Saccharomyces cerevisiae S288C: one gene and its partners. Each later gene encodes a partner of the first gene's protein in a complex. Each region holds a gene or a part of one and is shown in the gene's direction. Other genes may lie near its edges. The genes, in order: MRPL10, MRPL9, IMG1 and RML2.

What was found.
Region 2: MRPL10 (region 1) and MRPL9 share a complex: the UniProt entries of both Saccharomyces cerevisiae proteins name them as parts of the mitochondrial large ribosomal subunit.
Region 3: MRPL10 (region 1) and IMG1 share a complex: the UniProt entries of both Saccharomyces cerevisiae proteins name them as parts of the mitochondrial large ribosomal subunit.
Region 4: MRPL10 (region 1) and RML2 share a complex: the UniProt entries of both Saccharomyces cerevisiae proteins name them as parts of the mitochondrial large ribosomal subunit.

What each region holds. Positions count from the first base shown.
Region 1 is NC_001146.8:102,471-105,638, reverse strand, and holds MRPL10 (mitochondrial 54S ribosomal protein uL15m MRPL10), read left to right. Parts: upstream 1-1,536; coding exon 1,537-2,505; downstream 2,506-3,168. Other genes in the region: WSC2 (Wsc2p), read left to right, coding at 1-455. UniProt on the Saccharomyces cerevisiae protein: Component of the mitochondrial ribosome (mitoribosome), a dedicated translation machinery responsible for the synthesis of mitochondrial genome-encoded proteins, including at least some of the essential transmembrane subunits of the mitochondrial respiratory chain.
Region 2 is NC_001139.9:935,475-938,519, reverse strand, and holds MRPL9 (mitochondrial 54S ribosomal protein uL3m MRPL9), read left to right. Parts: upstream 1-1,636; coding exon 1,637-2,446; downstream 2,447-3,045. Other genes in the region: TOS2 (Tos2p), read left to right, coding at 1-1,396; exportin CRM1, read right to left, coding at 2,725-3,045. UniProt on the Saccharomyces cerevisiae protein: Component of the mitochondrial ribosome (mitoribosome), a dedicated translation machinery responsible for the synthesis of mitochondrial genome-encoded proteins, including at least some of the essential transmembrane subunits of the mitochondrial respiratory chain.
Region 3 is NC_001135.5:209,328-212,030, reverse strand, and holds IMG1 (mitochondrial 54S ribosomal protein bL19m IMG1), read left to right. Parts: upstream 1-1,607; coding exon 1,608-2,117; downstream 2,118-2,703. Other genes in the region: ARE1 (sterol acyltransferase), read right to left, coding at 1-102; BUD23 (18S rRNA (guanine1575-N7)-methyltransferase), read left to right, coding at 486-1,313; RRT12 (Rrt12p), read left to right, coding at 2,421-2,703. UniProt on the Saccharomyces cerevisiae protein: Component of the mitochondrial ribosome (mitoribosome), a dedicated translation machinery responsible for the synthesis of mitochondrial genome-encoded proteins, including at least some of the essential transmembrane subunits of the mitochondrial respiratory chain.
Region 4 is NC_001137.3:59,038-62,667, reverse strand, and holds RML2 (mitochondrial 54S ribosomal protein uL2m RML2), read left to right. Parts: upstream 1-1,816; coding exon 1,817-2,998; downstream 2,999-3,630. Other genes in the region: VMA8 (H(+)-transporting V1 sector ATPase subunit D), read right to left, coding at 3,520-3,630. UniProt on the Saccharomyces cerevisiae protein: Component of the mitochondrial ribosome (mitoribosome), a dedicated translation machinery responsible for the synthesis of mitochondrial genome-encoded proteins, including at least some of the essential transmembrane subunits of the mitochondrial respiratory chain.

The sequences.
Region 1 (3,168 bases):
CTTCTCAGCATGTGGACTTGGAAGAGACAAAGCAGTACCAGCCGTACTCACTGGGTGATGCTGACGCTAACCCTGTTATTCCACCGTCTGCTTCGAGCACTAACTGGCACATACCCTCTAGGAATAATACAGCATTGTCCAAGAATACAGCGTCTACTTTTGCCACTTATGATCTGCCGACAAGGGCGCCGGGCGGCAGAGATTCTATTATTACTGGTGATGCACATAATATCAGCAAAAGAAGTCACTTTCCCTCGGTAGTGTACGAGGAGCCTCCTTCGATCTATAACGGGAACCAAAGGTTCAGTGCTACTTCGCTGCCCGATATGATGGAAGAAAGACAACTACACATTGTCAACCCCGATAATGTGAGTTCAAATATTGGGAGTAATGTCTCAGATGGTGATGATGATTACGATGATGCAAAGGATTCCAATAATAGTTCTTTGCGCTGACTAGGTTTAGATACCAACACTACATATTCATATCAAAGACTTATTCATCCTTTCATATTTCTTTCCTTCATTTTCCCTTTGTATGTATAATATTATTAAAGCCGACGATTATTGCACGAAAGAAAAAAAATATAGATAAAGTGAACAGTACCGACCATATCAATATTGATTTATCATGTTAAAAAGTTAAGTATATGTATAGTTTATCAAAATGAATGTACACATTTTCTATTCTTCACAAATCTGAGGCAATGGGGTCTGTCTCAAATCACCATCAGGCATGTTTACCGTAGAATAAAAATAATATGCTTCCAATCGGATTTGAACCGATGATCTCCACATTACTAGTGTGGCGCCTTACCAACTTGGCCATAGAAGCTCAGAACTTGAGAAAACCGGATATACAAGTGCTACTTAACAAAATGAGTATGGAAATCCTAATCTTCTTACTTTAGTTAGTATAAGAATCTGTGTATATTTGGTGAATAATTTGATGATTGTTGGGATTCCATTGTTAATAAATACTATACTAGAAGTTCTCCTCGAGGACATATGATGTCGTTAGGACGTGATAAAAACCATTTCGTCCTTGGGAGATCACGGATGCATCGAGAAGTTTCCTAGCCAGTCATTGGGTTATTGTGCCGAAATTAACTTTAATCAATCAGAAGAGAGAAACCAAATGGCGTCCCCCAATTATTCACACTTCTGCAAAACAACTTAATTACTTTTCGTTTTTCACAAAACAAACGCAGCTCATATTTTGGGTAGGGCATTCCAAGTATCCATTTTATTGTGCGTTCATTGGTCTCGGTGAACGTAGGACAATATGAGTTCCGATTATACCAAATACCGTAGCAAACTCCTGATTGCAATTAAACAGTATATTTTGCGTATTCTGCGTCGCAAGCAATGTTAGATAAGGTACCTTTATGTACTATACAAAGCTACTATTCACAGCTACTATCTTTATATCCGTTTTTCTATTTGGCAATCGTATAGTTTTCTTACCCGGCTGAAACTCCAGGTAACTGCACTAAACGCAGTGCGTAAAATTAAAGCTCATGACCTTTAGAAGTTGATGAAAGCGGAAAGGCAAACAGGATTAAGAAATAGTTTTACAACCGTAATCGGTCGCAAACTAATAAACACTTTTGTTCCGTCCATGATGTTAACTAGCGTAGCTGGTAACGATATTTTTTTCCGAGGTTTATTCAAATCGCCGGTATTAGCATTTCAAAGTTATCGTTATGTTTCGATTTTGGGACAATTGAAACCGTCAGATGGTTCTACAAAGTCTTTCAAAAGACTTGGGCGTGGTCCTTCCAGCGGTTTAGGTAAGACATCAGGGCGTGGTCAAAAGGGTCAAAAGGCGCGTGGTAAAGTAAAATCGTGGTTTGAAGGTGGTCAAACTCCAATTTACAAGCTATTTCCTAAAATTGGATTTACCAACGTTGGCGCCAAACCATTAAAGGAATTAAACTTGAAACGCATTCAATGGTTTCATGATAAAAATAGGCTTCATTTGCAACCAGGCGAGGTTTTAGACATGAATAAGATGAGAAAGCTTGGTCTGGTAACTGGTCCCATAAAGTACGGAGTTAAAATTCTAGCCAGCGGAAAGTTCCACTACAATCTACCGATTGCTTTGGAGGCTTCTAGAGCATCCGCTAAGGCTATTGCGGCTATTGAAAAAGCAGGAGGTAAGTTTACAGCTCGTTACTACACACCGTTGGGTCTAAGGGCACATCTCAACCCCCAGTGGTTTCTTGAGAAGAGGGGAAGAGTACCACTACAGGCTAGACCCACGAAAAGAAGGGATATTGATTTCTATAGTAAAGAAGAGAAAAGAGGTTACCTAGTAATGGAAAAAGATAAACTCTTACAAGATATCAAAGAAGCTCAAAATAAGGGTTCTAGACACTTTTTAAAACAGAATGTAAAAAAGAGCTCATTAGAAATAGAGCTAGAAGAACTGTCTCCAGAGAAGGATTGGGTGCCAGTTGTGTCTAATTCTAAAGTCATGAACATCAAGGCTTTGGACCACTAAAAAATTGTTAACCGTTTTATATATAAGTAATATTCTCACTTGTACATACCTTAAGATATTGTCTTGTTAATGATTCATTTGGTGTCCGAAATTATTCTATTTTTCAGTCAATTTATGACCAACTATCGAATAAGGTCCTGATTTTCAGAAATTTTTAACTTTTATTTTCTTTTTTGTGAATATACTTTAAGCAAACTCAAACATATTAAAAGATTGCATCTTGCTTTTTCGGGAGAAGTAAAGCAGTTAAAGGAAAAGAGAAAAACTACATTCTTCTTTTAAGCATTATTATAACAGGGTGAAATGGTTATTTAGTAAATAAGCACAAATACAAAAAAAATAAACGACCCCAGTGAGGGTTGAACTCACGATCTTGCGATTAACAGTCGCACGCCTTAACCAACTTGGCCATGGAGTCTTATAATATATGATTTGTTGTATCTCAAAATGAGGTACGTCAGTATGACGATTCCTTATCCTAAACGTTCCTAAAACACATATGTGTGGGAAATGGGTGAATTTTGAGAATTGGGCGAATTTTGAGAGAATTGTTTGGATAGACGATAGTGGATTTTTATTCCAACATGATCAACTAATAGATCTTTAACACTGTTGGAATAAAAATCCACTATCGTCTATCAACTAATAGTTATATTATCAATA
Region 2 (3,045 bases), on another chromosome or scaffold:
CAAGCACATTGACCTTTCGAATAAGATTTCTTTCGAATCGTTAGAGAATTCTGAGCTGATTGTTTCACCACAACACTCAAATACTGGGCAAGACTGTGATCAAAGATGTGATAGTACGTCAAATCCTGATGTAAATGAAAAGTCCAGCCATAACAACGATAATCGACTTAAATCGAATTATACGAGTCGTAGCGGGCTCGAGCCTCAGTGTTCGAGAGAGGAGGAAGAAAATATTGACAGAATAAGAAGCATTTATAACATTTATTTTGAGAAAAGTAATAGCACGATACGATCCTCTGTAACTTCTTCGATACGGCGTGACTCTAAATTAAACATCGCTACAAGAAAAAGTGTAAATATGAGCTCTCAAGACAATCCAAATGATACTACATTAATTGAACAGAGTCACTTCGGAAGTACAACTGTCCAAGAAATTGATTCCAGTTCCAGCGCCAATGAGGAATATGAAGATGCAACTGATTATCTGCAAGTGCCGGCACCACAAGAGAATAAAAACATTGCATCGTCAGTATATTCAGAAGTAGCAACCAGAGAAAAAGTGATTCCCGAATCGTCTCTATCTCTTACATTCCCACCACCGAATGGTCTTTCAACGAGAATTACCTCATCAATATATTCTGACACGGTCGCTAAGGACCATATTCACTCTGCAAAGGCTCCCGTACGGGCCCTTTCGGAGGGTTCGGGTCAGTCAAATCTTACTTCTGCTCAGCAATATTCTACATATTTTATAGATCACTGCAACCAGAGCAATGATGACAATTACTACTATAATTATCCCCTCCCGTTAGAACATCCTCAAAATTATGAGAACATCGGAGATTTGCCCACGCCTACCCAATTCATTTATTCCACCTCTTCGCATTCCTTGACGTCATTCAAAGGAAGGCCTAAACCTCCAAAAACACTAAAACATGTACCTACAGCTAGGCTTAATGGGACAGCGTTGAATCCAATGGATCATCCTGAAATGTTTTACAGTTCGCCTACGAAAATACCGTCAACATCTTTGACAAAGCAATTTTGTACGCCCCTTCCATATCAGCTTAGACAAAGTGTTGTTATGACCAACCCATCAGAACTTTCTATGAAACCTCGCTATAAGCCTGCAGGATCTTTAAGAAATTTAATAAAGGCCCAATATCTCCCTGGTAACTCATCCACTACAACATCATCTTCTTTATCACAACCGCCGTCAACGTTGTCAAATGCAATAAATTTCCGTGTTAGTGGGTTATTGGATGACACTGACATCTTGCAGCCTCCTAGTGTGGGGGAAATCTTACCTTTTAAAGCTTCTACGGAAGACTTAAGGAAGCAACTGGGCACATCCCATAATTACGAAATAACACCGTACGAGAATGTACATGTATAAATAAAATTCAAAATCATGAAATGTTGTAACAGTAAATAAGCACCATAAATTCGTTTCTCGATGATCCTCTTCTTTCCTTAATTGAAATGCTAATGCCATTTCTCCTATTACAGTCGCGAGATATTTGTTTTCGGGTAATCCCTTGTCAAACGAACTTTATTGAAAAATATATGGACGATAAATTGACAACTGGGACGAGAAAGGGCAACTCTTTGAAAGCAAGAGAGAACAAATATAGCCATGTCGAAGTTCCTACAGGGATCAATATTTAGCATATCAAAACTTCATGTTAGATATTCTTCTACTCGGCCTTTTCTAGTGGCTCCTAGTATTGCTAACAGTATAACAACCGAGGCTCCAGCGATTAATCACTCACCTGAACTGGCAAATGCGAGAAAATGGCTACCAAAAAGATGCGGTTTAATTACTCGTAAGAAGGGAATGATGCCTTATTTTGATAAATCTACTGGTGAAAGAAGCGCCGCTACTATATTAGAAGTTAATAATGTTGAAGTAATAATGCATAGAACTTCGGAGGTCAATGGGTACTTCGCGTGTCAAGTAGGGTACGGATCAAGGCATTTGTCTAAAGTTAGCAGACAAATGCTTGGTCATTTCGCTTCTAAAGTTGTTAACCCAAAAGAGCATGTGGCCGAATTCCGAGTTAAAGATGAAAAGGGATTAATACCACCTGGCACATTATTGAAACCCTCTTTTTTCAAAGAAGGCCAATATGTTGACGTCAGATCAGTCAGCAAAGGCAAAGGTTTTACTGGTGTGATGAAAAGGTATGGATTCAAGGGTTTGAGAGCATCTCATGGTACATCTATTATGCATAGACACGGTGGTTCTTATGGTCAAAACCAAGACCCAGGTAGGGTACTGCCAGGAAGAAAGATGCCTGGTCATATGGGAAACGAGCATGTTACTATCCAAAATGTTAAAGTTTTGAAAGTCGACGATGAAAATAATGTTATTTGGGTTAAAGGCTCTGTGGCTGGGCCCAAAAACAGTTTCGTTAAAATTCAAGATGCAATCAAAAAAACTTGAGCATAAGGCGTATAAGTATTTTACTACAATCATGTACATACATCAATAATAACAATAAAATGGGTAATCACTTAAGAATCTTCAAATAATATTCTTTACTTTTCCATGAAGTTGGCTAAATAGTATTTAGTACTATATTAGAGTATTGGAACTTTGAAGAACCAATTTACATACAATATGAAGTGAAAAAGAAATGAAAACCCCGTGGTTATAAATTAGAGACTAGTTAATAAAAGGGAAAAAATATTGGAAATTTAAAGAATGATACGCCACCGCCTCTAATCATCAAGTTCGGAAGGTTTTAATAACCCACCAATCTTGGCAGCTTTTTCCCTCTCTAGTCTATTCTGTTCCATTAATGCATTCTCTTTATCTTCAGCAAACAAATAATCTGTTGGATCACCTCCGACTTCTTTGATTTGCACCAAAAAGTCCCTCAAAGTGCCTTTGAAGACCACTAAGTCTTTGTATTGTTTAGTTAATGCAGAGAGAAAACTTGCGATTTGTTCGGATGTTAAATGGGGGAATGCATTACTTAACATATTAGCCAAATATTGGCTTAAGTAGACTTGATTTGAAGTTCCTTGTGGTACCTCAGC
Region 3 (2,703 bases), on another chromosome or scaffold:
GTTATCGTACGTGACCGAATGCCGTTTGTTGGCTTCTGCGGAATTGAGTCTGCGGATCTTAAGAAACTCTTCGTCTTGCAACAAATCCTTAGTCTCCGTCATTCTTGCAATCTGTTTTGGCGCTCTTGCTGCAAGCCGTGCTGAACAACCACCTGCGTGAGTGTGCCAATGGCGCCCCTTTCCTCCACCACGCTCGTCCTTCTTATATCATCCGCATGTTGCCAGGGTCTGCTGGGTGCTATTGTTCGCTAAACGAGTCCAACCACGGCCGGGTATTTGATGGCCAAGCCAGATTTTTTTTTTTTTTTCACTCTACACCATCTCACATTTTTCAATTTTATCGATAAAAAGAAGAGATGAGCAGCACATACATAGTGTGATAAAGAGGAAAAAAGCAGAAGAAGCAGAAGAAGAAGAGCATAGTAAAAAAGTAGTGCTAAAAAGGTGCGGTACGGAAACACAGGAAATATATCAGAGAAGAAATAATGTCACGTCCTGAGGAGTTGGCACCACCGGAGATTTTCTATAATGATAGCGAAGCACACAAGTACACGGGTTCGACCAGAGTGCAGCATATCCAGGCGAAGATGACGCTGAGGGCGTTGGAGCTTTTGAATCTGCAGCCGTGCAGTTTCATTCTGGATATCGGGTGCGGGTCCGGACTGTCTGGGGAGATTTTGACGCAGGAGGGAGACCATGTGTGGTGTGGTTTGGATATATCGCCCAGCATGCTTGCGACCGGTCTTAGTAGAGAGCTGGAGGGCGACTTGATGTTGCAGGATATGGGCACCGGGATACCGTTCCGGGCGGGCTCGTTTGACGCGGCTATTAGTATCAGTGCGATCCAATGGCTGTGCAATGCGGACACTTCATACAACGATCCTAAACAGCGGTTGATGAGGTTTTTCAACACATTGTATGCTGCACTGAAGAAGGGAGGGAAATTTGTGGCCCAGTTCTACCCGAAAAACGACGACCAGGTGGACGACATACTGCAGTCTGCCAAGGTGGCAGGGTTCAGTGGCGGGCTTGTGGTGGACGACCCAGAGTCTAAAAAGAATAAGAAGTACTACCTTGTGTTGAGCAGTGGGGCCCCACCGCAGGGGGAGGAGCAGGTGAATTTGGACGGTGTGACCATGGACGAGGAGAACGTCAACTTGAAGAAACAACTGCGCCAGCGCTTGAAGGGAGGCAAAGACAAGGAGTCTGCCAAGAGTTTCATTCTAAGAAAGAAGGAGCTCATGAAAAGACGTGGGAGGAAAGTTGCGAAGGACTCCAAGTTCACCGGGAGGAAAAGAAGACACAGGTTCTAGAAGAAACACACATCCTCACACGCATATTCTTTTGTATACTATAAAAATACACACTTATACATTTCCCTCTGTCTCTGTCTCCTTCTACATGTATACTTGTATATGTATACTTGTATATATACACTTATATCTGTATGTGAGTGGTCAATGGCTCCGCGCACTTTTATGTAGTGATGTATTTTCCTTTTTTTCTTGGTTTTCAATTTTGGTGCTTTGGAACTCCCAGTAAAGAAGAAGAAGAAGAATCGAGTCTTCCCTCTGAGCAGCTGCTGAAAGGGAGAGAGAACCATAGCGATGTGGAGCAGGAACGTCAGATTGCTTGGATCATGGACAAGGTCCTACATGGTCCCCGCCACCAAGAGAAAAACCATCCCCGTGTACCCACCTGTGCAGCGCATAGCTTCGTCGCAGATTATGAAGCAGGTGGCCCTCTCAGAAATAGAGTCTCTGGATCCCGGGGCCGTTAAGAGGAAGCTCATCAGTAAAAAGAACAAGGACCGCTTGAAGGCAGGCGACGTGGTCCGGATTGTGTACGACTCGTCCAAGTGCTCGTACGACACCTTTGTTGGCTACATCCTTTCCATAGACCGCAAACAACTGGTGCAAGACGCCTCGTTGCTGTTGCGGAACCAGATAGCCAAGACGGCCGTCGAGATTAGAGTGCCATTGTTTTCGCCGCTGATCGAGAGAATCGACTTGCTAACCCCCCACGTCTCGAGCAGACAAAGAAACAAACACTACTACATCAGAGGTACAAGGTTGGATGTCGGCGACCTCGAGGCAGGTCTAAGAAGAAAGAAATAGGCTAGGCGCGGGTTCTGTGGCCACCCATCTCCTGTATATAAGAAAAATAGTGCGTGTATAAAATCTACGTATACTAACTATGGGTAAAGTAAACCTTTTTGTACTGTTTTCTTTTTTTTTTTTTTGGTTTCCCGTAGTGATGACGTACGTGTATAGAGAATTGAAGCGAAAATAAAAAAAACGACACAAAATATTGTTCTCATTGGCTTTTTTATTTTCTATTTTACACAGCATATAGAGGTATACTCAAGTGCTAGACATCCTCTAACATCCGCCAAGAAAAACAGCAAAAAAACACTGGTCATGAAGCCACAGTGCATACTCATCTCTTTGCTGGTCAACCTCGCATACGCAGAGGAGTATTTGGTGAGGTTCAAAAATCCCACAGCATTCCAACAATTCACTTCGAATTCCAACAGGTCATGGAGACAGTTCATCGACAACAAAATTGAGAAGAAATTCTCCATCGGATCCTTCCGCGGCGTGACCATGAACCTGTCCAAGAACTTAGTGAACAAGCTGAAGAAAAGCCCACTGGTGGCTGATATTGTGCCCAACTTCAGGTTCGAAGCTTTTGAAGGCGACA
Region 4 (3,630 bases), on another chromosome or scaffold:
TCCTCGAGATTATAGAAATGCCCAAAAGGAAGTCGATAGTGCTACATAATTATGTAACTTCATCCTCCTTCCTTTTATACTTTGTCGTTCGCTACCCTATTACATTATTAATTCTTGCATTTCAGCTTCCTTTAAATTTGATAGCTGTTTCCCATCGTACTTTTTGTCAACTAATTCTGTCCTATATGATAATTGAAGAGTGGGTGAATTTTGAGATAATTGTTGGGATTCCATTTTTAATAAGGCAATAATATTAGGTATGTAGAATGTACTAGAAGTTCTCCTCGAGGATTTAGGAATCCATAAAAGGGAATCTGCAATTCTACACAATTCTATAAATATTATTATCATCATTTTATATGTTAATATTCATTGATCCTATTACATTATCAATCCTTGCGTTTCAGCTTCCACTAATTTAGATGACTATTTCTCATCATTTGCGTCATCTTCTAACACCGTATATGATAATATACTAGTAACGTAAATACTAGTTAGTAGATGATAGTTGATCTTTATTCCAACAATAATACATATTAATACTATATACATAAGATCAAAGATGAAACTTGCTTCTTATTCCAGCAAGATTCTATATGCCATGATATACGACGAATAATATTTTGTGAATCAAGTTGATACTCCAAGGTTATGTTCTAATCTATGTTCTGTGGGTTCTTTATTTTTTGAATAACAACAAATAGTAAGCGCAAGTGGTTTAGTGGTAAAATCCAACGTTGCCATCGTTGGGCCCCCGGTTCGATTCCGGGCTTGCGCAGCTTTATTTTTTTAATCCATTCATTTCATGAGCAACTGTCAACTAATTCCAATACGAAGAGCCTAATTCTTTGATAGTTCCTTTTCTTTTCTAGTTTAGATTTCAGAAAGCGTAAACAACAATTTTAATCATCGTATTCAAATTTACATCGAACACGTTCATGATTAGCATGGAGTGTAATCATCATCAAAAAAAAAAAAAAAGAGGAGTGATAATGGCAATTAAGACAATTTTTTATATAACAGTAAGAATTGATATTGAAACCAAATTGTGCTTAACAAAAAAAACTAGGTCGAATGGATATTTTTCTTAATCCAACCGTACCGCTGTGTACAAATGAGGCAAAAGAGGTAAAATGTTTGAGAAAAGATTCCTTTCTTCAGCAATCCTTTTCTTGCATTAAATACATGTTCCTTGAGAAAACTTTTGATGTTTAATGTGTAAATATCTCATTAATTTCAGAATTTTCAGTGTTTGTTGTTTGTAAAATCAGTCATTTCAAAGATCCGCTTGGGGCGACAACTTAGTCATCATGTTAATGAGATACCAACAAAAAACTGTACTTGTAAGTTGTCTTTATCATCTCTAAAGGAACAATAATGCAGAAGAGAAAAAAGTAAAGAAAGTAATACACAAACATCCCCCTCTTGGCTTTATAAGCATACGCAAACAGTATAGTTCGAAAAAAAAAGTATTAGTACGATCTATTTTTGTTTGTCAGGAACTCCTGTTCCTTAACACATTCTATAGAAATATCTATATGTTACCATCCACGTACAGGTTGAAGCGCTTGGTATTTAAGATGAATAAGTATATTCTACGGTTAAATTTGAATAGAACCTCTGTTCTTTAAATACTCAAAAAAAATTTTCCATGCAAAAAAAAGACTACGCGAGGTGGAAAGTTAGGGCTTGAACCTATAATTGAAAGAGAAAGGGAACGTATGGGAAACTGAAAGCGAGTTCTAACTAAGCAAAAGAGAACGTTGTAAACTAGTCCAGAAATACGCAGAGAAGATAATTTAAGTGTTTATGAAAGATGTTGGTGCTAGGGTCTCTTAGATCGGCGCTGTCGTGCAGTTCCACAGCATCGCTTATTAGTAAGAGAAACCCTTGTTATCCATACGGTATACTCTGTCGAACTCTATCTCAGAGTGTTAAATTGTGGCAAGAGAATACTTCAAAAGATGACTCCAGTTTGAACATTACTCCACGATTACTAAAGATTATACCTAACGATACTGATATCGTGACTCTTGAGAAGCAGGATGAATTGATTAAAAGACGTCGTAAACTTTCGAAAGAAGTGACCCAGATGAAGAGGCTAAAACCCGTCTCACCTGGTTTGAGATGGTACCGTTCCCCCATTTATCCATATTTGTACAAAGGTCGTCCGGTTAGAGCCCTAACTGTTGTTCGAAAGAAGCACGGTGGTAGAAATAATTCAGGAAAAATCACTGTCCGTCACCAAGGTGGTGGCCATAGAAATAGAACGAGGCTGATAGACTTTAACAGATGGGAAGGTGGTGCACAAACGGTGCAAAGGATTGAGTACGATCCGGGTAGATCCTCTCATATCGCCCTATTGAAGCATAATACTACCGGCGAATTGTCTTATATTATTGCTTGTGATGGGTTACGCCCAGGCGATGTGGTCGAATCCTTCAGAAGAGGTATTCCTCAAACTTTACTGAATGAAATGGGCGGGAAAGTAGACCCTGCTATCTTGAGTGTTAAGACTACCCAAAGAGGCAACTGTCTACCTATTTCCATGATCCCCATAGGTACTATTATTCACAACGTTGGCATAACACCCGTTGGACCTGGAAAATTTTGTCGCTCTGCTGGTACATATGCCAGAGTCCTTGCGAAATTACCTGAAAAAAAGAAAGCTATTGTTAGATTACAAAGCGGTGAACATCGTTATGTGTCTTTAGAGGCTGTCGCTACCATTGGCGTGGTCTCCAATATTGACCATCAAAACAGATCTCTTGGTAAAGCCGGCAGATCAAGATGGTTAGGGATAAGACCCACTGTTAGAGGTGTTGCCATGAATAAATGTGACCATCCTCACGGTGGTGGCCGTGGTAAATCCAAGTCTAATAAATTATCAATGTCTCCATGGGGACAACTGGCAAAGGGGTACAAGACTAGAAGGGGTAAAAATCAAAATAGAATGAAAGTAAAAGACAGACCAAGAGGCAAAGATGCAAGATTATAAATAGGCTAATTTTAGTAGAAAAGAAGCAACATAGGGACCTTTTCTTCGTTGTTCTGGTTACATTTATCTGTACTATATAATTTTGCACAGCCTGTAGACAATGCCGCTTGTCCACAATCATGTAAATATAAATATTGAAACTTTTCACTTGTTTAAAATTTATGGCAAACCACTTTAATACTTTTTTCTTTTTAGGTACAATATTTACATTTTGATACTGTCCATCAGATTTTAGTCACTAACATCTAAGTTAAGGAAGTAAGAGATTCAGACTCCGGTAAGGAAAAAAAAAAAAAAGAAAAAAAAAAAACAAACTCTGAAATGAAAGCATTAGAAGAAAAAGTTATATCTCATGTACAATTTGAGCAAATTTGGACCGATATGATTTGAGGTTGTATGATAAGAAGTGCTATTTATGATTGTTTAAAAAGATGTTATTTTATTAAACAATTATACAAAATATCCTTTTTTTTAATAATGGCTTACATATTTTTGAAAAGGGTCTTGTTCTGCCTGAAACTTCAGAATATAACATCGTCTTCTTGATCAGCAACCAATGTTTCACCTTGAGGTTCCTCATCAGCAGCTACTTCTGAAGCATCTTGTTCTGCTCTATCTCTCTTCAATTTCAT